6 linked regions of the Callithrix jacchus genome follow. The main gene of each other region encodes a partner of the protein of the gene in region 2 in a complex. Links are inferred from orthologs where the notes say so. Each region holds a gene or a part of one and is shown on either strand. Other genes may lie near its edges.

Region 1 (4,161 bases), on a different chromosome or scaffold from region 2:
CTGCTGCTACGATATTTAGCTGAGAAAATAAAACCGTGCGTTTCAAAGCAATCCTTGCTAAGTATGATGTCTTCCTTGGCACAGATCAAAGGACACAGAACACAAGTGAGTCAAAGGCTGCTCGTTCCATCTCCACTTGCTGTTCTCCAAGGACCCACTGGGACTTTAACCACGGACCGTTTATAACTCATTTCTTATCCTGGCTTGAAGACAAAGGTCATTCACAAGACTGCATTATTTTCTGGGCATGGTAATCAGCTCTCATGATTTAATATTTTCTTGGCACCACACTCCACCGACCCCAGCACTGACTGGTATGCCAGCCATTTTTAAGTATTGTAAATGGGACTTAAATAAGTAACATTTTGGAAGGTGTGCAAACCTAAATAAATATTGCTGAGTGGGGACCGTTCTAGCCAACTCTCTTGTCTGTTAAGGGAAAAACAATACATTCATCCTCCGTTCGCGTATATATACACACACACACACACACACACACACACACACACACAAACACACTCTCTCTCTCCCCCCTCCCCCTCTCTCCCTCCCCCTCCCTCTCTCCCCCTCTCTCTCTCTCCAGTTGGTTGGTTCCGACTTCCTCCCAGCCCTGCCTTTTACTGATGGGGGTAACCAGAACAGGGCCAGCCTCAAAAACTCAGGAGTCAACTCAAGTGATAACACAGTAACCCCAAATACTCATGCAGCCCTTTCTGTTTTTCAGGAAACTAGCATATAAATATGAATGGCTTCCCAGACCTATAAGGTAGTTCACGCACTTCAGATTAACAGACGCCTTAACATCACAGGGCTGCGCCTAATAAATGCTCAGTTTCCGGCTCCTAGGTTCCTTTCCCTATTAGTCCCTTGTTCCTGGAGTGAAAGCGATGGGAAGTAAAACAGACCACAGCCCCTAAAAGGCTAACGGTGGACTCTACTTTTTATGAGTTTGTCTTTTACCCTACTTTTTCTATCTACACGTCCAAGTACCAACACTCACCATGTATGTCTGCAAGAGGTCAGCTGAAATCCAGATCCCATCATTTCCAAACTCAACACCAGAACGCACGGCCTGACAGGAACAGGTAGATTTGTGGAGACAATGGGACAGAGTACAAAGTCTCAGACTCACCCCTCCTTGTAGCAGAAAACAGCAGCCGGCCAAGTGCGGGAGCCCCCGGGGCCTAGAGGTGCCTGCAAAGGCCGGGGCACAGGAGAGAGGCTGAGGCTGTGCTCCAGCTGGGAGGAGAAGACCAGTGATGCCATCCTCCAAAGTTCACAGCTTCGGTAAAATCCTATCTACCCAAGTGCCCTACGGAGTTGTTCCCACCCCCAGCAAAAAAAAAAAAAAAAAGATAACTAAACACTTGAAGGGCAAACCAAATGCAACAAATGCGCTCCCCAGCTGGACCCAACAGGAAGTCTGCATACATTTACTTAACTCTAGCTCTCTCAATGATTCAAGCACAACTCAACTTTGATTCTGTGCTCAGATCTGAGAAATCTCAATCCTCCAGAAGCACCAAGCAAAAATAAAAAAAGGCCTCCAAGCACAAACACAGCTGCCCCAAATTCCCGGCCCACCCAAACCGCACCTCTCACAGGGAGCCTCAGTCCTGATCTCAGGACATTCTGGTGCGTGATAAAGGCACAGGCTACGAAAGGTCCAACAGCTGGGCTCCACTGACAGCAGCTGAGAAGCAGCAGGTGAGGCAAGGGTGGGTGTAGACCCGAAGACGCCATCTTATCGCTGCATAGAGACAGAGAATGCAGGGGAGGCAGCAACAGGAGACCCCACAGTGTGGCCCGGAAGCCCTCTACTCCCAACTGGCCCCCAAGGATGGCGGAGAACTACGACAGGATGCAGGACACCCCCGAACTGTGAGACAGGAGCTACCAGCCTGCAGATGCAGTGTGGGTCATCAATGGCTTCAATTGAATGATTGCTACCAGAAGCTGCCGTCCACGACTCCGTACCCAGCAGACTCAGTCAAACACATGCGTAAGCCACATACTATACAAAAGAAACTTGATTTCACTTCTGGGTCTTTTTTGATCTTAGGCTTCATAAGAACACCACACAATGTAAATTGGCAAGTATGAGAATCCTGGCTGTAATTTGGAGTCACGTTAGTGGACACCAGGTTTAAAAATAGCTATGAAGAGGCTTCCAGTAAAAGCCATCAAATGAAAGGCGCATTATGTTAGGCTGCTCTGGCCCACACTGACGTTAATAAACGAAGGAGCGTGAGAAGAAAAGTCCATCTGCAATAAATGTAGGAACTACCGGAACCGGAACCCACAGGTAACATAGCCAGGCACTGACCTCTGCTCCAGGCTGAGGGGAGAACTGAGAACACATCAGGACCCTAGGCCTGCAAGGGGGCAGGCGGCTGGGAAACTGAGGTCCTTTTCTTGGCACGTGGGGCTGAGATGGCAGGTACCATTCCTGTGGGAACCCAATTGCAGATCCAGAGGCACCCAGCAGGCCTGGTCCACGAGGGCATCTCCACTTCCCTAACCAGGAAGGCTTCCTAGTAGAGAGGCCAGCTTTTCGCTGTGGGCCCCAGGCAACTGGGCCCTCACCCCTCACCTGGGGAGCATGCGAGGGTGCCACCGGGAGTGGCACAGGCCCCTGGAGTATCTCATCCCTCGGAGAAGAGCAGGCGCTGGCACAGCCCACAGGCAGAAGGCAGGGCAGGCTGGAGAGAAAGAAGAGGACAGAGCCACCTGCCCCAGGAGGCAGTGCTCCCGCCCCTCCGCGCTCACCCCACGCCCGGCCCATGGCAGGTCCCCTCCTAAGCCAAAGGAATCCACGCTGACGAGTGGAGGAAAGGCAGTGGTAAAAAAGAAAACAAAAGGAAAATATTTCCAAATTCCCAAGGGAGAGGGGAAACATTTCAGAAAAATACTGCTCTCAACTCAAAGAAATTACAGACAATCCAGATAATCCTTTTTTTAAAATCTCCAAAAAGCATTAACACAGCTAGAGATGAAGGTAATAAAAATCACTAATAAACCTCATATTAAAAGCAGCAAAAAGTAGAAAACAATGACATAAAGAAAACTGTATTACCTAAGAGTAGAAGCACTAAAAAGATGTAAAAGTGATCAGAAAATGAAAATAAGTAAAAGGCAAAACCCCCCTTCCGGTCAGTTTCTACTAGAGAAATAATAAGACAAGTGGAAAGATTCATAGGTCCATCAAAATTTTCCAAAAATTTTTTTAAAGCTGCAAACTCCCTAGGTAAACATCAATGTAAAATTACAGGAATTGGTCCCCTTTTGGTTGGGGGACAGGGTTACTTATTTACACATCCAAAGAAAAAGGTGGAATGATGTACACTGAAATGCTAACAGTACGTTTTTCTCTTATCTGTGTTTTCTGCACTGTCCCTGTTGCTAACAATGAGCCTGTCTCACAGATGCACACTGTGGGAAAAGCAGAGCTCCAACATCGCAATTTCTAATGTACACATGTGCAGATCAAAAAATGCCAGACTTGGCTTCAGGAAGATGATTTTAAGCTTATTCCCGGCTGCTCAAAGTCAGTGATTAGACAACTCAAATCCATTACCCTAAATCAATACGGATAATAATAAAGAAGCTAAAAAGCAGCAAATGTCTTTCTATATTAGATGAAACATCCTGCATTACATTACACCAAATACCGTAATTACCGCATGACTTGTAAACAATTCTTTCCATAAGGAAAACCAACAAAATGAAAATATAAAAAAAAGAGAAAGCATTCAAGAAAAAATGTTAACTCATTTTTTTTTTAAGCTAAAAAAAGAAACATGAAAGTTTAAAGAAATTGGGAGGTCACAGAAATTGCTTAAGATCTGAATACAATTCAACACCAGTCTTTTTCTTTCTTTTTTTTTTTTTTTGAGGTGGAGTTTCACTCTTGTTACCCAGGCTGGAGTGCAATGGCGCAATCTCGGCTCACCGCAACCTCCGCCTCCTGGGTTCAAGCAATTCTCCTGCCTCAGCCTCCTCAGTAGCTGGGACTACAGGCATGCGCCACCAGTCTTAAAGTCCTTGTCATTCTGGGTTTCACTGATGAAGGGTAAGAGAGCAGGAATAACTTCCGATAAATAAAACTGTTCTGTTTAAAAGACAGCGCACAGATGACCGCTGTGGCAAAGGCTGGGCAGG
Region 2 (4,278 bases):
AGAGACGGGGTCTGCCTACATTTCCCAGGCTGGTCTCGAATTCCTGAGCTAAAGCTATCCTCCTGCCTTAGCCTCCCAAAGTGTTGTGATAATAAGCATGAGTCATCATGCTGGGTTATCTCTTAAAATAAAAATTTTAGCCTCAACAGGTTGCCCCCATAGCAGTTTCAAAAACATTGTTTTAAATTGTGTACATCCTTAAATTAATATATTGAACTAAATTTTTACAAAAACTCACTTTGATGACCCGAATTTTCCACATTTTACCACAGACCAGTTAAAACTCTGTCAAGGAGTTTGAGATCAATAAACTAGATCTGGCTAAAAGAGGCCTGAGGTGAATCCTTTTGTTAGGTTAGGACTCTTCTTATTAAGCAAACAATTACTCTTTAGCTTTCTTTTTAGGTTGGGATGTTCACAGGCTAAGCCACTGGGAGAAGGTAGGTCAACGGTGTTCCCATAAACAGTGATACATGATGAGACTCTCTTGACTTGTGCCTCAGTAATTCTCTTCTAGTGATTTTCTAAAAGCCCTAGAGAGGGGGAAAAAAAAACACCTATCTCCTCTAAGGACTGCCTTTCACAGGAAAGCAAAAAAGAGGGAGAGAAGAAAAGCAGATCTCGCATCTGGGTACTGTGGTGATAGAGGAGGCACTGGCAGGTAAAAAGAGTTCTGCTGCAGCAGAAGGTAGAGGAAAGTTAATCTTTCCAGCCAGGCTTTTGGCAGGCAATGAGCCCAGCCAGAGATGATCGCTGCAGTTGTTCATTTCCAGGCATGAAGAGTGCAGCTGCAGCCGATCAGCAGGTAAACTGCAGTGCAGGTGGAAAGCTTTTAAGTCTCTGGACACTGCAAAGTACTGGCAAAAGACCACACTATCAGAGCCTTTGCCTGAAGAAGACTTGACAGGCGGGGAACAGATTGCAACTTTAGAAGGGACATCCAGGGAGAGACTTTTATTCCCCCATAGAACATATCATTCTGAAATTATTTTATTTGCTCACAATTTGTCTCTCCACAGCCAAAGACCCTATGTTGTTCCCTGATGCATCCCTAACATCTAAAACAGTGGCTGGCAGATAGAAAGTCCTCGATAAATAATTGTTGAATTAATGAATGGCTCATCTCCCCAAAAAACATTTGAGTGAGAACAATGTCTCTGTAGGGGAAGGAGGTCCAGGGTGCCCTAAAAGACCAGACTCATCTTGAGGTAGGGAGGGAGATGATGTGGTGGATATAATCTAGCAAGACAGGAGGGCTGCGCTCTGCCTCTGCAAGATGATGACTTTGAGCTGGTCTTTTTACCTCCACTTCTACCTTAAAAAAAAAAAAAAAAGAATGGATTCCTCCTACTCTGCCTACATCAAAATGGGAAGCATACATGAAATCACTTTGGAAACTGAAATGCTATTCAAATGGTAAGGCAAGATCTGGGCTGCCAAAGACCTGGCTTCTAGAACCAGCTCTACCACTTGATGATGATGATGATGACAATAATATACTAAGAGTTACTATGTGCTGACCAATTACATGCATTGTGGCTGCACTGTGCCAAAAAGTTTATAGTCAATTATCTCATTTTCACTTTATCACAACCTTCTGAGGCAGGCAGTGTTAATTTCATTTTACAGATGCAGAAACCAGAGCTCAGAGGGGTTGGGTAATCGCACAGGTAGTAAATGATAGGGCTGGGATTCAAAACCTGGTCTGACTGACTCCAAAGCCTGGTGTTCCTGACCACAAACTGTGCCAGATGTCTGATCTTTGGCAAGTCACTCCCGTTCCTTTTAGGTCTGTAAAATGAAAGGGCCATAGCAGATGATCTCTGCAGACCCCGCCACATGTGACATTCTGTCGTCTATTCTGATCCCCGCTCCTAGATGAGGGGGTAGGGGAGTGTGCATAATTCGATGCTTTCATCTTCCGAGACAGGATTTGTTCTTTAGGAGAGGAGGAAGAGATGGAAATCCTCCTACTCCTATCTGTATGCTGGGACTGCTCCCGCCAGATAGCGACCCCTGGGCTGCGGAATCCCGCCTCGCTCAGCCCTCACAGGCAGGGGGCCTGATGTCCGCGAAAGGCGCTCCCGAAGCCGCCTAAGACTTGCAGGGAGAAGCGGGCAAGCAGGCGGCGGGCAGAAGTCCCCCGGCCAATGCGGACCGGCCCCGGGGCCCGCCGCAGGCAGCGCGGGAGGGGGAGGGCGGCTGCCCCACTCGCCAACCCGGCCTTCCCGCAGCTGAGCTCCGGCCTCCCACCCCTCAAGCCGGTCACTTAACCTCTCCGCTCCCGCTCCCCCATCTATAAACCGGGATCGGAATTTCTGCTTCAAGGAGCTGCAGCGATTAAGTGAGATAAATATTTGTAAAGTATTTGGTCCGTTCAACGTAGCCCTCATCTTCGTGCATCGAGGGGAGGCCACAGGGCTAGAAAGACCCCAATCCGCGGCAGGAGACGTGCGGACGAGGGTCGGGGCTGCAGAGCCCAGTGTCCAGCAGCGGGGACCCCGCAGGCGCACACTGCGTGGGGCTGACGAAGCGCGCCGAGGGCTCCGGGGCCAAGGCCGAATCGCCTCAGCCGCTGCTTCCCGCCCGCGGGCGTCTCCGGGCCCCAACCGAAGCTCGGGGGCTCCTCACCTCTGACTCCCGCCGCTGGCTTCGGAACGCTTCGCGGCCCTTGGGCGCCGCCTGCTTCCCTTTGCCGCCGCCGTTGCCGTTGCCATTGGCGGGCGGGACTCCGTTCCCAGGCGCGGCGAGGTCCTCCATGAAGCTGGTCAGCGGCTCCCCTCAGGGTTCAGCTTGCTCTGCCCGGGGAGACCACACAGCCGCGCGCCGGGAGCCAGGCCCGCCTCCTCCGCCACTATTGGCTACAGATGCTCTCCGCGGCCCCGCCCCGCGAGGCAATTGGCTGCTCCACCGGCCTGAGCGGGACTCGAGGAGGTGGGGGCTCATTGAAGAGATTTGGGGGGATCTTCTCAGTCCTGCGGCACTGCTGGCAGCCGGAGACTCCTAGGTTAGCTCCAGGCTCCACACCCCCGGAATGCGGGGCCTTGAGCTCCGGCGGGTAATCTCAGTGCTCCTCACTCGGTGTCTTTCAGCATTCACCCCGCCCCCTGTAGCGACCTTTTCCGTAGCTCCAATCTCCGCCTCCTGCTCCACCGCAGTCTCTGTTTCCCTAGTATCATCGACCCGGACCCCCAAATCCCGGCTCCTGCACGCGTCCCACATCCCGCTTAGTCGCGGGGGAGGGATGGCACCACCAAGTGGCCAGGGACACCCCCCCCGAAACGAGGGACTCGCTGTCTCCGGAAGCTGAGAATTCTCAGTGTTTCTCTGAAGAGAACGCATCTCTCCCGGAGCGAGGGCTTGGCTGGGAGACTGGGGGTCAAGGATTGGGATGGGGACGTTTTTCCATTACTGAAATTGCTGGTGGCTTCGGGGCTGCTCCTGTCATCTGTCTTTTCTGCTGTAGGGGCCTCTTCCTCATGGTGTGAGCTGGGCAGCAGATGTTGAGTGCAGAGCAAGTCCCCACCCTCACCGGCTCGCCAGTCCTTTCCTTCCTTCCTCTCTCTTTTCTAAGATGCTTCCTAAGGGCTCAGTGTTACTGGAGGCAAAGGAGGCTGTTTGATCTGCCCTCCCTGAATTTAAAAAGCAGCTTGTAGGAAGTATATAGACAGTCTGACTTGGTAATAGAAGCCCCGAAGACCTAGGCTCCGGGGAACGGGTGGAACCAAATCGCTCTCCCCGGCCTGGTTGCTTTAGGAAGGGTCTGGGGCGTTGTGCTTGGTGCCAGGAACTGCAGTAGGCGCTTTCCAGATATCACATCGTACTCCCCGACAGGGTATTTTTACGAATCCGGTGTTACTGATGAGGAAACTGGCCCTTGCAGATTCCTCCCTGCAGTTCCCAAGGTATATTCTGTCGTCTCAGGGTCTTTCCCGTGCTGTTCTCTGGAGGAGACTGTCTTCTGCTCCCCTGGTTGATTCCTTTTCTCCCATAAAGATTCTAGTTAGTTATCACCTCCTTCACAAAGCTTTCCTTTGGCCCTCAACTCACTCAGGCTGTATTGGTGTCAAGCCAGTTCTGCCTGGAACCAAAATCATAACATTTTCCACGATATACCCAAAGCAAGGGGCCTAAAGGAATTACTCCACCTTCCCAAATCTTAGAGACAACTCTGTCCCTTTCTTACCATCTCTCTCACTTTTTTCCCTTTGTCAGTTTGTAGGTGAAAGAACAAGTTTAAGAGCACTCTTTGGAGCTTTTTGGGTTTTCTCTCCCTGA
Region 3 (3,500 bases), on a different chromosome or scaffold from region 2:
CCTTTTTAATCATGCTCCAATATACAAATAATTAAAAACCAAACCTTTTGCATAAAACAAAATATCTGAGAACAATGACTCTAGATTAAAAAAAAAATAAGTATTTACATTATCACGTCCTATAATACAGACTGTACTAGGCTCAAGTTTAGAAAAAATGAGCAGTGTTTTAATGCAGCTCTTTATTATAGGTAGTTTAGAATTTTTAAAAGATCTACAATTATTACGTCTAATAAAGAGTCCATAAAATAATTTTTATTTTTATTTATTTATTTTTTAAGACAGTCTTGCTTCGTCGCCAGGCGCCAGTCTGGAGTGCAGTGGCGCGATCTCGGCTCACTGCAACCTCTGCCTCCCAGGTTCAAGAAATTCTCCTGCCTCAGCCTCCTGAGTAGCTGGGACTACAGGCACGCACCATCAGGCCCAGCTAATTTTTATATTTTTAGTAGAGATGGGGTTTCACCATGTTGGCCAGGAGGGTCTCAATCTCTTGACCTTGTGATCCACCCACTTCGGCCTCCCAAAGTGCTGGAATTACAGGCGTGAGCCACCACACCCGGCCATAAAATAATTATAAGCCTTTAAAGAAGGAAAACATTCATAACTGCTAGTCAGACGTTTATAAGGAACAATCCCCATCCTACCTACACTGACAAAAACAAAAAAAGACAAAAAACTGAATTAACGCTCTTTAAAGATGAGATTTTTTCAACCAGTAAGCTGTTACTTTTTAATTAAAGATGGAGAACAGAGAAATATCAAAACAAATAAATTAGAGAAAAATCTTCAATATTAATAGACTTTAGATCATTCTATATGTGTACCGCAACTCATACACCTAAACGCATAAAATATATATCTACACACACACACACAGAGAGTTATAGTTACCTATGTAGGGTAATTTTTTAAAAAAAGGTTTGAGGAGATACTGGGACAGAGACCTTAGAAAATAATTTTGGTTTAAGATCTGACCATGGCACCATGTAAATATCTTACATAATTATAAAACAATTTTTTTTTTAAGAAACAAGGTCTCTCACTCTGTCACCTAGGTTGGAGTGCAGTGATGCAATCATAGCTCATGGTAACCTTGAATTCCTGAGCTCAAGTGCTTCTTCTGCCTCAGTCTCCAAAGCTAGGACTGCAGGCACTATCAACATGCCCACCTAATTTTTTAAGTTTTTGGTAGAGATGAGGTCTCACTATGTTGCCCAGGCTGGTCTCGATCTATTTTTTTTTTTCTTTTTTTAAACTTTTTTTTTTTTTTTTCTTTTTGAGACGGAGTCTTGCTCTGTTGCCCGGGCTGGAGGGCAGTGGTGAAATTTCGGCTCACCGCAACCTCCACCACCCAAGTTCAAGTGATTCAACTGCTTCAGCAACCCGAATAGCTGGGACTATAGGCACGCACCACCACGACTGGCTAAGTTTTTGTATTTTTAATAGAGACAGGGTTTCACCGTGTTGGCCAGGAGGGTCTCGATCTACTGACTTTGTGATCCGCCCGCCTCGGCCTCCCAAAGTGCTGGAATTATAGGTGTGAGCCACTGCACTCAGCCACCCATGCTGGTCTCTGCTCCCAGCCTCAAGCTATCTTCCTGCCTTGGCCTCCCAAAGTGGTGGGATTAGAAGTATGAGCTAATGCACCCAGCTGACAGTTGTTTTTCTAAAACAAATTAATGAAAATCAAAAATAAAATTAAACAAACGAACTTTAGTATATCCAACTGGTGGTATAGCTACAAAGGAAGAAACTTCCAATGACTTTAAAGCACAGTAATTAGACTGTATATCCCTAGTGGAACATAGTTAAGTACAAAGTTTTATTATCAATAGTCAGTCTTTTGGTGGTAACGGTATTATTATTGAGACGACTCTGTGTATACTGTGGGATAAATCAAATGAGAAACAATTGTGTTGAGAACCAAAATAAATCTGAATTTGAAGTGGAGGTATTTTACTTTTTAAAAAATGCTTATTTACTAGCTCTGTCCATTGAAAAACCCTAACTTAATGAACAACGCAGGAGCCATGAAGACCATGAGGATCAACGCAACAGCCTAGCACCCCAACTGTAGTCTCTAAATGCCATTTCCCACTCAAAGAAACCACAACTCCTTAGATAAAGAGCTGATTTCAGATCTGGGGGCACAAAATGAACAAGATGAACCTAAAACATCTTGTCATATGTCATATCAGTAAGCTACCAACAACTACCAGGGTCATGGCAAAAGGACTGAGGAGCCAACCTGAGCCCCACTGAATTAGCCCCACTGGCCAAAATGAAAGGATCTGAGCAGGGATAAAAATTATACCTGCAATGAATTCAAACACATCAAATACATTTACATCCATGAGACAGTACCATGATACCAAAAACAACACGCAAGACAAACTGGTCACCTGTAGAGGGTGCTAGCAAACCACCTCATTATTTTGAAAACTGGTAAATAAAGGTGAAAACCAAAACCCAATCATTTACCTTGCCTTTCCTTAATACACACTAACCCCAAGATAACCAAATTACTGATAAGGAGATGTTCCTTTTTATAGGAATAATCTAGCTAATAAATGGAGAGGGAATAATAAAATTAGGAAATCATTTTTCGGTAGAAAATGAATTAATGAACCCAGGCAATAATCAAGACTGAAAGCATCACAAAAACATACACAACCAGAAAATACTTACTTCTGATAAAAGCTCACAAATTACTTATGAAGTAGAGTTGCCAAAAACATTTTAAAATTTTAAAAAGGGGAAAAGAACCAGTGAATCTGAATTTGAATAAGTCTCTAGATCTACAATTAATTCACAGGAAATAGAGAAGCACGTTAACTAACGCAGGGATACAACTAGCAAAATCTAGACTGTGGGAAACTTGACAGGACAAACTAGCCAATTTCTTCAATTAAAAAAAAGGAATATAAAAGAGAGCAAAGGGAATCCATGGATAAAGAGAGACCTGAAAGACCTATCAACCAATCGCAATACATAAATCTTATGTGATCCTATCTAAATAAACTCTAAAACACACACCATATACTGCATGTACAATACTGGACATTTATAGACAAGTATTTAAGCTGAATTATGAATATGTCAGGTTCATTATGTTATTTTCTCTATTTTCACCTTCATATTGCTCTAGTCATTCCTCTTTTCTCTTATGTACACCCAAGCTTTTAAGCACAATTTGAAGAAAGCAGAAATAATATAACTGTAACATTATGAAACAATTTTGCCATCCTAAATTTAAGTAGTCAAAATGTGAAAATTAGCTAAAAGATCACTCTCTATTGTATAATAATCCTTTTCAAGGTTTCAAACAAACTCCACGAACACTTACCAGAATCTACCTGTGATGAAAGTATCACCAATGACTGTGAAGTTTCCAAATCATAAATTACTGCACTACCAGTGTTGAAAGAGGTTACCATATGAGCTGGATCACAGCCTATAAAGTCAACTGATGTAGGTATTCCATGATCTGAAATGAACCC
Region 4 (3,500 bases), on a different chromosome or scaffold from region 2:
CTCCGGGGAAGTAGGGCTCAACTCTCCTCTCCCTCACCCTCTGCCCATCACCTCCTGAGGCCCACCCAAAGGAGAACCCCCATCCCCTCCTGTCCATGGTCCATCTCATCCCCCAGCATTTCCTGAGCAGCTACTGCACACTGAGCCCCAGGGGCGGGGAGCGAACAAAACAGGCAACTCTCCCTGCCCAGCAGCACTGAGGCTGCAGCTAAGACAGGAAATGAAGAAAGCAACCCAGGGGTCAGTGTGAGGACAGAATGGCCCCAGGAGGAATGCAGGGAGCCTTCCAGGCAGAACAGATGGGGAAGGTCCCAAGGCAGGAGGCAGGGGTAGCCACAAGAGCCTGAGCAGGGCCCTGGTGAGGAGACGTCCGGTTTAGGGTCAGGAAGACTAGGCAGGGCAAAGGCTCAGCTTCTTCCACTGTCTAGCAGTCCCCAGAATTGAGGCCTGTCTGTGGGGACCCGGACCCTGTACTAATCTCTGCACTGGGCTGGATCTCACTGACCAGCCCCTCACCGACCAGCCCCTCACCCACCAGAGGCTGCCAGCACAGGCCTGGAGGCAGAACCAGCCACAGCTTCCATCACCATGGCCTGCGCCTCTATGCACGCACACGCACTCATGCCTGCACCTACTGCAGGCCTTACCAGGCAGGCCTTGCCCTTCACCCCACAGCAAGCTCCAGCCCCCTTCTCCACCCACCCACATCCCGCTCCATCCCTTCTAAGCACAGCCTGTTGCTGCCCTGGATGCCCTTATCCAGAGACGGAGGGTAGGAGAACATAAGTCCCTGCGGGGACTGGCCAGGCAGACCTGGAGCAATGCTACGAGGCCCTGACGCCAAGTTACAAAGGGTCAGGGCCACATCTGTAAACTGGAGATAAAAGTACCAACCGTGCAGGTTGTTTAGAGGCCAAATGAGATGATGCAGCTCCAGTGCCCCAGGGAGCTGATCCCGGAGTGCTGTGCTGCCCCGTATCTCCTGTCATTTCACCCAAACCGGCTTCCTTCAGTCCTGGCCCCCAAGCCCCCTGAGCACTTGCCTGAGGCCAGTGCCCAGGCTTCTTCCTCCCCTTCTCCCCAACCCCAGTGGGCCTAGTGTGCCCAGCTTACTTCCTGACATCAGGAATACGCCATTGGGGTCCACGGCTAGGCAGGTGACTGCGTCCAGGTGTGCAACCATGGAGTGCACCGGTTTACCTGAGGTGAGAGGGGGTGGGTGGCAGGTTCCCCTCCCACTCTGGGCCTCCCTGGGAGAGGGAAAGACCTGGAGGAGACCCTCCCAGGGCCTCCCACCGGGACTCGAGCGTCTCTGACGCCTGCCCCTGGCACTCCCCACCCTCCACGAACACAATGGGCTGGACTTCACCTGTCCGATTGTCCAGGAAGCGGATGCCCCTGTCGTCGTGGGCGGTGATAGTGAGAGGCTGGTTTGGGTGACTCGCCACTTGGTTGATCTGGGTTGGACCTGAAGGAAAAGCAGGGTGAGAAGGATGTCAAGGGGAAGATCAGGAAGACCAGGACGGAGGCACAAGTGCAGCATGACAGCCCTACACCAGCCTCTGCCTGGATGTCGAGAGGGGCTGGGCAAGGCCACTCCCATCCCTGACCTCAGTGCTGGGTCTGCACAAGGAGCCCCTGGGCCATCCTGGAGCTGGGGGAAGAATAGTAACAAACATGAAATTCCACTACTCTACCAAGAGGGCCCAATAGGGTGTCCCTGATACACTCTCCCCACCTGGCCCCCCAAGTGCCCTGGCTGTGAAGGTGGGGGCCCTGCACCAGGACTCGACTTCCTTCCTGCTCAGGGCCCGAGGGTGCAGGGGAGTCATCTGAGCTGACTGGCAAGAGGGTCATCAAAGCCCCAGGAGGAAGTGGGGCCCGGAAGACACAGAGCAATTCCATGAGCTGCTGTCGGCCCGCTTACCGCTGCTGCCCCGGGACTCCAGTGTGAGGAGAGCACTGCCAGCCTCCAGGTCATACAAGACGGTGTCGCCAGAGCGGAAGGAGGCCACGATGTGGGCAGGCTCGGTGCTGGTAAAGGCCACTGAGGTGGGGACCCCGTGTTCTGAGGGCACAGGGGAGAGAGGGCTGCTGAAGGGACCCTCAGATCCAGCCCTGCCCCAGGGTGGGGGACTGTGGGTGGGAGGCCTGGGGCCTCAGCGGGAACCACCCTGACAGCCTCCAGCCCCGTAGAGCTCCAGGGTGAGGTGTAGCCTCCACTCACCGCTGGTTGTGGGGAAGGTGCAGAGGCAGGTCGGGCTGCTGCTGCTGGGGTCCCAGATGCGGACGGTGCCATCGGCGGAGCAGGAGGCCAGGCGCTGGGAGGCAGAACTGAAGGCCAGGCCCCACACGGCATCGCCGTGGCCCTCCAGGACGTGGCTCAGCACGCTTGGGTCTGCACCCACCGCAGGGAGGAAATGGGCTGTGTCAGGACTGCCAGCTCCTCCCTGGACAGCCTGGAGCCCCAGTTCTGCCAAGCCCCAGGTGGCTGGGCTCGAATCACCTGTGCACCCGCTTCACGCCCTGGTGCCCCTCAGAACTGTCCACCACCAGGACAGCACAGAAGCTGCTCACACTGCCCGCTAGCTCTCTAAGGAAGGTTCTAAGGCTCCCGAAGGCAGGGATTTCCCTCCATTCACGGCTGTCCCCCCAAGCAGGGCCCAGAAACTGGAAGCTCAATTCAGAATTTTTTCAGTCTCCATTAAGAAAAAAGGAACAGTGTGGTTCTGTGCCCCCACAAGCGGCACACAGCCTGTACTGGCTGAGGGTCCGCCCCAGCTCCGGCCTGTGCAGTCTTTTCAGCCCACGGCCCAGTGCCTGAGCCTCACTTGGTCTCTCCAAAGCCCCCTAGTGGTTCAGAGGTCCAACCACTGCCTCCCTGGTTGCTGAAGTCCATGCTGGCAGCTCTGGCCTGCTGACACCGAAGGTGTGGTGGCCAATATGTCTGGGACTGACCCCTGACCTTGTGCAGGTGAGCCTGTTCTCTAACATGTCCTCCCCTTGAAAGCAGACAAAGACCTCTGAACTCTGCCCGGACAAGATGGAGCACAGGGCCAGATGCATGATCAAAAGAGGAGGCAGAGCCGGGCGTGGAGGCTCACGCCTGTAATCCCAGCACTCTGGGAGGCAAGCGTTATCGCCTGAGGTCAGGAGTTTGAGACCAGCCTGGCCAATATGGTGAAACCCAGTCTCTACCAAAAATATAAAAATTAGCCGGATATAGGTGTACACACCTAATGCTAGCTACTCAGAAGACTGAGGCATGAGAATCACCTGAACCTGTGGGGCAGAGGTTGCAGTGAGCCAAGATCACGCCACTGCACTCCAGCCTGGGCCATAGAGCAAAACTCTGTCTCAGAAAAAAAAAAAAAAGGTGGCAGAAAGCAGGAGGACAGATGTTGAATGGAAGTGGCAGTCTGGTCACTTCCCTAGTTAGCTCTTAGTTGCCCCAAAAAGAAAGCCCCAACTCCGTCCAGCCTGGCCCAGCTAACTCCACC
Region 5 (2,831 bases), on a different chromosome or scaffold from region 2:
GCTCCCGGGCCTGCCCGTGTTCTCTGGGTTCCCAGGGTGACTTATCTTCTTTGAGTGCAAACGCAGTTGACTCTTCTATAGAGAAAGTGGAGAAGGTGTAGTTGGGGTCCGTCACAGGGCAGGACCTCCCTGCTTAGTCATGTGACGCTACATCCACGTCACCTCCTCATGGGCAGTCAGCACTATCCCCAGAAATGTGATGCAGCCAGGATCTCTGCCCACGGCTTGGCCAGTGGGCTTGGGCGCAGGTGTGCCCTCCAGGAGCCCCATTGGAGCCTGGGAGGGAGGATGAAGGATGTTGGTGAGAGGTGGTGACAGCAGAGCCTGCCTGAGGATGGCAGAGGGTGCAGCATAGTCCAGGGACATTGGCCCCAGGTCAGCGGGAAGCAGCCACTCAGGCCCAGGTCCTGGGCAGCCTACGGATCTAGTCACAGTTCCCAGAGGGTGGGCGATACCCGGTGACAGGGGCTGGTGTCCTGATGGCGGTCAGATCTGGGGTGTGTGTCAGTGGCCTGGTCATGCAGTGAGCTCTGGGAGTTTCTGGGCTTCATGTTTTTTTGGGTCTGATTGGACCCATTCAGTGGCTTCCATGACCCTCAGCGGGGAGGAAGCCATCTGGTCTCCTCCTGACAACCGAGGCCTGAAACTCCCTGGAGTGCAGACGGAGGGTAGGGGGTGTGGGGAAGGACCAGTAGGGTTCCCATTGGCAGGGTGGGGGCAGAGGCGTCCTTGGGCCGCCTTCCTGGCTTGCTGAAGGGCTCCTGGATGTGGGTGTTAGGCGAAGGCCCTGAAGGCCTCTAGCACAACTCTGGCCCAGCAAAGAGGCGGGCTGTCCTGGGGTCCTCGGTCAGGCATGCCTGGTCTCTCCACAGCTCAAAGAGAAGCACAAGCAGAGCGGCGGGAGCGTGGGCGCGCTGGAGGAGCTAGAGAACGCCTTCAGCCTGGCCGAGGAGTCCTGCCCCGGCATCTCGGACAAGCTGATGGTGCACCTGGTGGAGCGAGTGCAGAGGTGAGGGCGGCCCTGCCCTGGGGTCGGGAGAGCGTCCCCACCAAGAAGCAGCTGGATGTGGGGGGAGGTCCAGCAGTCACTTGTGGGCGTGGCTGCATTTGGCACTGTGTGGGTCCACTTCTCTCTGGGAAAGGGTGGCGTGGCATCCTCTTTCTTGTTTGGACGCAGCTCTCAGGGCTGGGAGCCTTTGGGGCTGGCCACAGTGGGAAGGGCCTTTCCGGTCTTAGTGTCTCAGGGACCTGGCCTCAGTGGCCACACGGCCGTCCTCGGCTGGCCTCTGCCTCTCCACCTGGTGGCTCCCAGGAGCTGCTCTGACACGCTAGTAGCGAAACATCAGAGCTGCCCCTGTGCTGGCTCGAGTCAGCAAGGGACAGGGCAGGACAGATACTGGGTCCCCCACCGCCCACTGGGCTTAGGGTCCAGCCACCGCGCCGCTGGCAGATGCACCAAGTCCTGGCCCACACACAGTGACCCCTTCCTGGCACCCCTGGGCAGCAGCTCTCAGGGTGGGTCTGGGCCAGTCAGTGCTGCTCCTGAGACCCTGTGCAGTGGCTTGTCAGGGCTGCCACTGCAGACTGCACACCCAAGAGGCCTTCAGGAGCCTGGGCACAGAGGTAGACGCACAGCGGTGGGCTCTCTCTCTGCAGGTTTTCACACAACAGAAACCACCTGACATCTACCCGCTGAAGCACACTGCTGTTCAGAGAGGGGACAGAAGGTCCTTTGTTTTGTTCTGAGCTCCGTAATAACTGTGCTGACTTGGAAGGTGCCCCATGCTGTGTCGTGCCTGCAGGGACACATCAGATCCTGTGGGCCTCACCTGCCAGGTCACCGTCTCCTACCCCTGCACTGTGCTGTCCTGCACGTCAGGGGATGCTGCTCCACGTGCCCACTGCCCCGCTTCCGCTCCTGGCCCAGCAGTAGAGTCCACAGGGGCTCCAGCAGCCGGCAAGGCCCTCGTGAGTTACGCCTGGCTCTTCTGCAGACTCTCACAGCCCCATGGCTGCTCAGACCAAGGAGCAGAGCAACTATCAGGGCAGCTCTGCCTCCTCCTCCCGTGAGGTGGGGAGAGGCAACGGGGCAGCCCAGAGGAGTGCCCTGGCCACTGTCCTCCTGGGGCCCATCATGGCCACAGATTTGCCCTGTGGTGTTGGATCAGGTACCGTGTCTGCTCATAAGTACTTGTGTCATCCAGAATGTTGTTTTGTTTTTTAAGAAAATGGAATTTACTTGTTTCCTTAATATTCTGAGGTTAATATGTTAGTTTTCATAGAACACTGAGAGGCCCCTGCCACTTTCAATAAAGACCTGACTTGGAGACATGCAGGTGTGTGGCGGGGCCCAGGCCATGCGGGGCTGCTGCGTCCCTGGTCCCGAGTCCTCATCACAGCACGCGGGGACTGCAGCCCAGTCCCCCCTCGGAACTTCCCTGTGACTGATTCCTGGGTTTTGCTGACACTGGAAGGAGAACAGAGCGAGCAGAGGAGTGTGCAGGTGGGGGCAGGTGTTTTTAATCGTCAGACGTGTGAACAAAGCGGTCGCCCATTTACTTCCCACCAGAAGGAATGCTGGGCAGTAATAAATTAGAGGACCCCACCCTCCCAGGGCACAGGGGGACTTTGGCTTCTGCTTCTCCAGAGGTTACGTGGGGAACAGGCGTGGCTTCTGCCAGACTCTTGTGTAGCTGTGACCTGCAGGCCAGGCCCCTGGGGCTGCCAGTTGGTTCACCAGAGGGAAGGTCAGCACGGCTGTGCCACGCTTCTCTGAGAGGGTCCTGGCAGTGGGTGTGCAGGGCACACGCAGGGTCTGCTTTCCAGTGCTT
Region 6 (3,977 bases), on a different chromosome or scaffold from region 2:
TCTCCTCAGAGGGAGAAAAAAATTGTGGATAATTTTGTTTTTATTTCTGGAAAAATCGTTTTTCCCATCAATCTTCATAATTCTCTAAAATAAACTGTTAAAAAGTTATAGGCTGGCCGGTCACCTCACCCTGATTTGTGGAAACACCATACAGTAATTTCAAGAACACATGGCTAACTCAAGTTTTCTAAAAATCTAAAAGTTGCTCCTAAGGCTTTCATAAAACTCTAGGAGCATTTTACAAGCTTGCAACGAATTTCTGCATCTCATCCGCAATATTTTGCTATATAACAATAACAGAAATAGTCTAGGTTCAAGAGTCACACTGCGTGCTCTCACATTTATTATTAGGGTATTGTACAATTTCAACTATGGAAAAAACTATGTGTTGCACAAAGTGCTTAAGAAGTACATTTAGAAAGAAAATGGAAATAAGAAGAATTTACCATTTCATTAAGATGAAGAGAATGACCAAAAAATAAAAATAATAATAATTCCTCTCTTCTCTGCTAACATTGAGATGTTTGCCCTACTCAGATTAGATGGGACAAAGTAATCAGAATTCAGACAGCAGTGAAAGGCAGAGTTTGTAATTTAAAGTATGTGATTCACATTCGAATCCACATTAATTAAGATGTAAATATTCAAGAGATAGGCAACTCAGATCTTTAAACAAAGCAGGGAACAGCACTTAGAAATACTGAACAGTAAGCAGTTCCTAAACCATATAAATTCAATAAGGTCAAGACAAATAAAGTAAAGATCGGAAACTATTTTCTCCTTAGCACACAGAGTTCCCCAGAATCACAAACTTGAGAACGGGAGGCACTCACTCTGCTGACGCACACACGCAGGCTCACGCACACAATGGAGCGAGAAGCATGGAGACCCTCAGAGACAAACTTCACGTGTGCATCGTTCCACTCTCCATAGAACGGAAAGAAGAGCACGGTGGGAAAATGTCACTTTTTCCCAGATCCGACGGCAAAACTGTACTTAGTATTGCAAACTATGAATTCCCTTGATACAATCAAAGGCAGAACTGAATGAATGGGGTGTGGGACAGGGTGTGTGGGGAAAAGGGGGGGGAAGAGAGGGGAGGCCGCCTGAGAGGAAGAAAGTCTGAGACATTTTGCAAGGCTTGAATGGATTAATCTTTTTTTTTTCTTAAGCCCTACTATTTCCTATTTCCCTTTCTCTCTCTTTAATATACACTAACTTCCTGAGACTCAACCCAGACTTGCCCTAAATGCAGCTGAAATGTCTGATGTTTAGGACACACCAGGAGTTCTAGGTGCACAAATGATCCCTTTCTGGGAAATAATTTTAAAATCACTTTTGTGGGCATGCATAAAATGAGAACACTGCTAATAAGTAAATTGAGGCCCAAGTCTACAGTAAATATAAGCTATTTGCTACTCTAAACATTTTATTTCTGAACTTGAAAAAAGTTTGTTTTCACATTTTTAGATCATGAGAGACTGAGGCTTTCTTGTTTTTAGCCTCTAAACTATTCATAAATGGGTTGTTTGGGCTATCTAGCAAAGGGAAAAAAAGTGAATACTTTAAAAAGTTGGTAGATTTGGATAACATTTAGCAGATAGCCTAAAGTGCACCGATTTAAAAACATAACAGCATGAGAAGTTTTCCAACATGGCTTACCTTTAATAAAATGAAAATATAATGGGAGGGGGTTGGGCTGGGTAGACTTTGAGTAAGAAGTTGGGTCCCATGCAGTAGTCCCTTGTCCAGGACAATATGCTTACTTTAACCACATGTAAGTCATCTCGTGGGAAAGGCACGGAGGGGGGCTGGGAACTCATCACTTCAGCGACTCTGAACAGGACCAACATTTCTCGCTCCACGCTATGGGCTGGGCCAGGTCGGGGAGCCAGATACAACTTTGCCCTTAAGCAGCAGTACCGAAAGGGAGAAAGAGGTCACCTCTCTCTCTCAGCCCTACGCACACAGGAAGAGCCCAATTCAAGCTGCCGCCGACACCCCTGGTCTTGCCCCGCCCCAGCTTGAGTGCGTGTTTGGGGTGGGGGTTGTAGGGCACTCACTACTCGCGTTTTACCCCACAACTTCCAAGGCACTTTCATGTCTCGCAGGTTAAGTTCTCCCCCCCTCCCATCCCCAACCGTGCCAAGCTCCACAGGCGCAGGTGTCTGTGGCTCTGGCCTATTTTTATACCCCACAGCCGCCCTCAATCCCCACCTAGTTGCGCGCTCCAGTCCCGCCTCGCCTTCCCAGCGAAGAGCACCACCTAGCCTACACACCAGGAAACACCTCAAGCCCTACTCCCAGGTCACCTGGCCAGAGTGACCGGCCCAGCCCTCAGGGGAGTCCCGGGGCCGTCCCTTGTCGTCGGTGCCCAGCACCGAGAGCGCTCCGGGCTCCCAAGCAGTCACGTGGGCGGCGGGGGGCGGCCTGCGCTTCCTCACCTGCATCCCAGGCACTTGGACAGCCACTGGTGAGTGGGCCATGGAGGCGACTGTAGCCTCGCTCCGCTTCTGCGGCGGTAGCGCCTTGAGTTCGGACTGGCTCCTCCTCCAGGGGTAGTTCGGCGGCCCTCCCAGGCTTGTCGTTAGGGGCCTGGAAGGACACACAGAAGTGGGGTTACTGGGCTGGAGGCGCGTAGCCCGGGCTGGGAGGTGGGTTGTTCGCGGCGGGGCTCCCTGGGACTCAGTCTACCTTTCTGGCGCCCGCCCGCCACTGAAGCAGCCGCCTCCGCTGCTGCTCCTCTTCCTGAACGCCGAGCGCTGTGAGTGGTGGTGGCTGGGACCTGGGCTCGAGTGATGCCGCTCCTCTGCGCCTCGCCGCTTTAGGAAGAGGAGGTGGAGGCGTCCCAGCCACCCGCCTGCTTGCCTGGCCCGGGAGGCGGCTGGGGGCGGTTCCGCCGTTGGCCCTGCCCCCGCCCCGCAGCCGGGCGGTGTCGCGGGAGCCAAGGCTCCAGGCAGCGAAGGGGTTTGGCTGGGGTTGCTGGAGTCTGAGAAGCTGGAGACTCTCCCGGCATGGGGTGAGGAGAACCCGGCGAACGGGAGACCTGGAACACGGCTGGGCCTGGGAAGAGAATGGAAGAGTTTGGGAAACCCTGAGGGTATGAGGGCGTCCTAGATGCGACCTTGTTGCAGGCGGGCGTGCGAGGCTGGGGCACACGCACCCTCGGAGACGACTTGAGTTGAAACTTGGGAGTGTTGGAAGTCTTTCTTGGCTCCCCGGCCTGGCCTAGGGCGGGATCACAGCCGCGGAGTCGGCGGCCCCCGCTTTTTCCCGCCATCTGGCCTCCTCAGCTGGGGGCTGCTCCTCTGGGCAGACCAGTAGCCACACTCAAGCTTTACGAGTTCCCCGACCCCAGACATGGTTCAGATGACTTCTAACCTAAGGTTCCCCCTACCTCTTTGGCTATCACTTGCAGGACGGCCAAACTGGGGCTTCTCTCTACCACAAGTTCTGCACGTGTAAAGGCAGAGGGAAAATGGAAAGCAGATGTTATATCAGCAGAAAAGTTAATGAGGATAGTAGAGGCTTGGGAAATGAGATTGGATCGTCAGCAGTACAGGTTGTTGAATTCGGCATACACAGCAGCGATTTTGGTAACTCCCTGCCTCCGCCGCATTTTAAGTTCCACTGCGGGAGGGAGACAGGCTCTTTTGAGAGTACTCTAACAGCGACAGTAACACTGGTAATAATAGCAACAGGAATTTCATTATGAAGGCACCTTTGGGAACACATAAGGGGTTAATTACTTTTTAAAAACGTAATAGTCGAATGCCAGTTTAAAATGAAGTTCTTTACTTTGAAGTTTGTTTTGGGTCTCTAACCACCACACGGTGGGGGGCCTCTAGTGGTAAATAGTAGTTTCTCTTCTTCCTTTTACATCTTTTTCAGAGAATAATATATGATTCTTATCAATATCGTTATCATTAATGGATGTCATCTTCTTTGTGCCAGAGACTGCTAAGTGCTTTCTGTGT

What was found.
Region 1: STRIP2 (region 2) and STK24 share a complex: the UniProt entries of both Homo sapiens proteins name them as parts of the core of STRIPAK complex. The link is inferred for Callithrix jacchus from reciprocal best matches to the Homo sapiens genes STRIP2 and STK24.
Region 3: STRIP2 (region 2) and STRN3 share a complex: the UniProt entries of both Homo sapiens proteins name them as parts of the core of STRIPAK complex. The link is inferred for Callithrix jacchus from reciprocal best matches to the Homo sapiens genes STRIP2 and STRN3.
Region 4: STRIP2 (region 2) and STRN4 share a complex: the UniProt entries of both Homo sapiens proteins name them as parts of the core of STRIPAK complex. The link is inferred for Callithrix jacchus from reciprocal best matches to the Homo sapiens genes STRIP2 and STRN4.
Region 5: STRIP2 (region 2) and STK25 share a complex: the UniProt entries of both Homo sapiens proteins name them as parts of the core of STRIPAK complex. The link is inferred for Callithrix jacchus from reciprocal best matches to the Homo sapiens genes STRIP2 and STK25.
Region 6: STRIP2 (region 2) and STK26 share a complex: the UniProt entries of both Homo sapiens proteins name them as parts of the core of STRIPAK complex. The link is inferred for Callithrix jacchus from reciprocal best matches to the Homo sapiens genes STRIP2 and STK26.

What each region holds. Positions count from the first base shown.
Region 1 is NC_133502.1:14,261,882-14,266,042, forward strand, and holds the start of STK24 (serine/threonine-protein kinase 24), read right to left. Parts: upstream 2,801-4,161; 5' UTR 2,786-2,800; coding exon 2,327-2,785; intron 1,019-2,326; exon of another isoform or gene 1,004-1,018; coding exon of another isoform or gene 1,001-1,003; intron 1-1,000. UniProt on the Homo sapiens protein: Serine/threonine-protein kinase that acts on both serine and threonine residues and promotes apoptosis in response to stress stimuli and caspase activation.
Region 2 is NC_133512.1:117,765,271-117,769,548, forward strand, and holds the start of STRIP2 (striatin-interacting protein 2), read right to left. Parts: upstream 2,801-4,278; 5' UTR 2,761-2,800; coding exon 2,632-2,760; intron 1-2,631. UniProt on the Homo sapiens protein: Plays a role in the regulation of cell morphology and cytoskeletal organization. Required in the control of cell shape. Calmodulin-binding scaffolding protein which is the center of the striatin-interacting phosphatase and kinase (STRIPAK) complexes.
Region 3 is NC_133509.1:65,326,295-65,329,794, forward strand, and holds part of STRN3 (striatin-3), read right to left. Parts: intron 3,488-3,500; coding exon 3,347-3,487; intron 1-3,346. UniProt on the Homo sapiens protein: Calmodulin-binding scaffolding protein which is the center of the striatin-interacting phosphatase and kinase (STRIPAK) complexes.
Region 4 is NC_133523.1:40,701,306-40,704,805, forward strand, and holds part of STRN4 (striatin-4), read right to left. Parts: intron 2,399-3,500; coding exon 2,228-2,398; intron 2,069-2,227; coding exon 1,928-2,068; intron 1,469-1,927; coding exon 1,370-1,468; intron 1,201-1,369; coding exon 1,114-1,200; intron 1-1,113. UniProt on the Homo sapiens protein: Calmodulin-binding scaffolding protein which is the center of the striatin-interacting phosphatase and kinase (STRIPAK) complexes.
Region 5 is NC_133507.1:162,776,919-162,779,749, reverse strand, and holds the end of STK25 (serine/threonine-protein kinase 25), read left to right. Parts: intron 1-872; coding exon 873-1,009; intron 1,010-1,656; coding exon 1,657-1,696; 3' UTR 1,697-2,331; downstream 2,332-2,831. UniProt on the Homo sapiens protein: Oxidant stress-activated serine/threonine kinase that may play a role in the response to environmental stress.
Region 6 is NC_133524.1:127,582,772-127,586,748, reverse strand, and holds the start of STK26 (serine/threonine-protein kinase 26), read right to left. Parts: upstream 2,801-3,977; 5' UTR 2,695-2,800; intron 2,596-2,694; 5' UTR 2,487-2,595; coding exon 2,445-2,486; intron 1-2,444. UniProt on the Homo sapiens protein: Serine/threonine-protein kinase that acts as a mediator of cell growth. Modulates apoptosis. In association with STK24 negatively regulates Golgi reorientation in polarized cell migration upon RHO activation.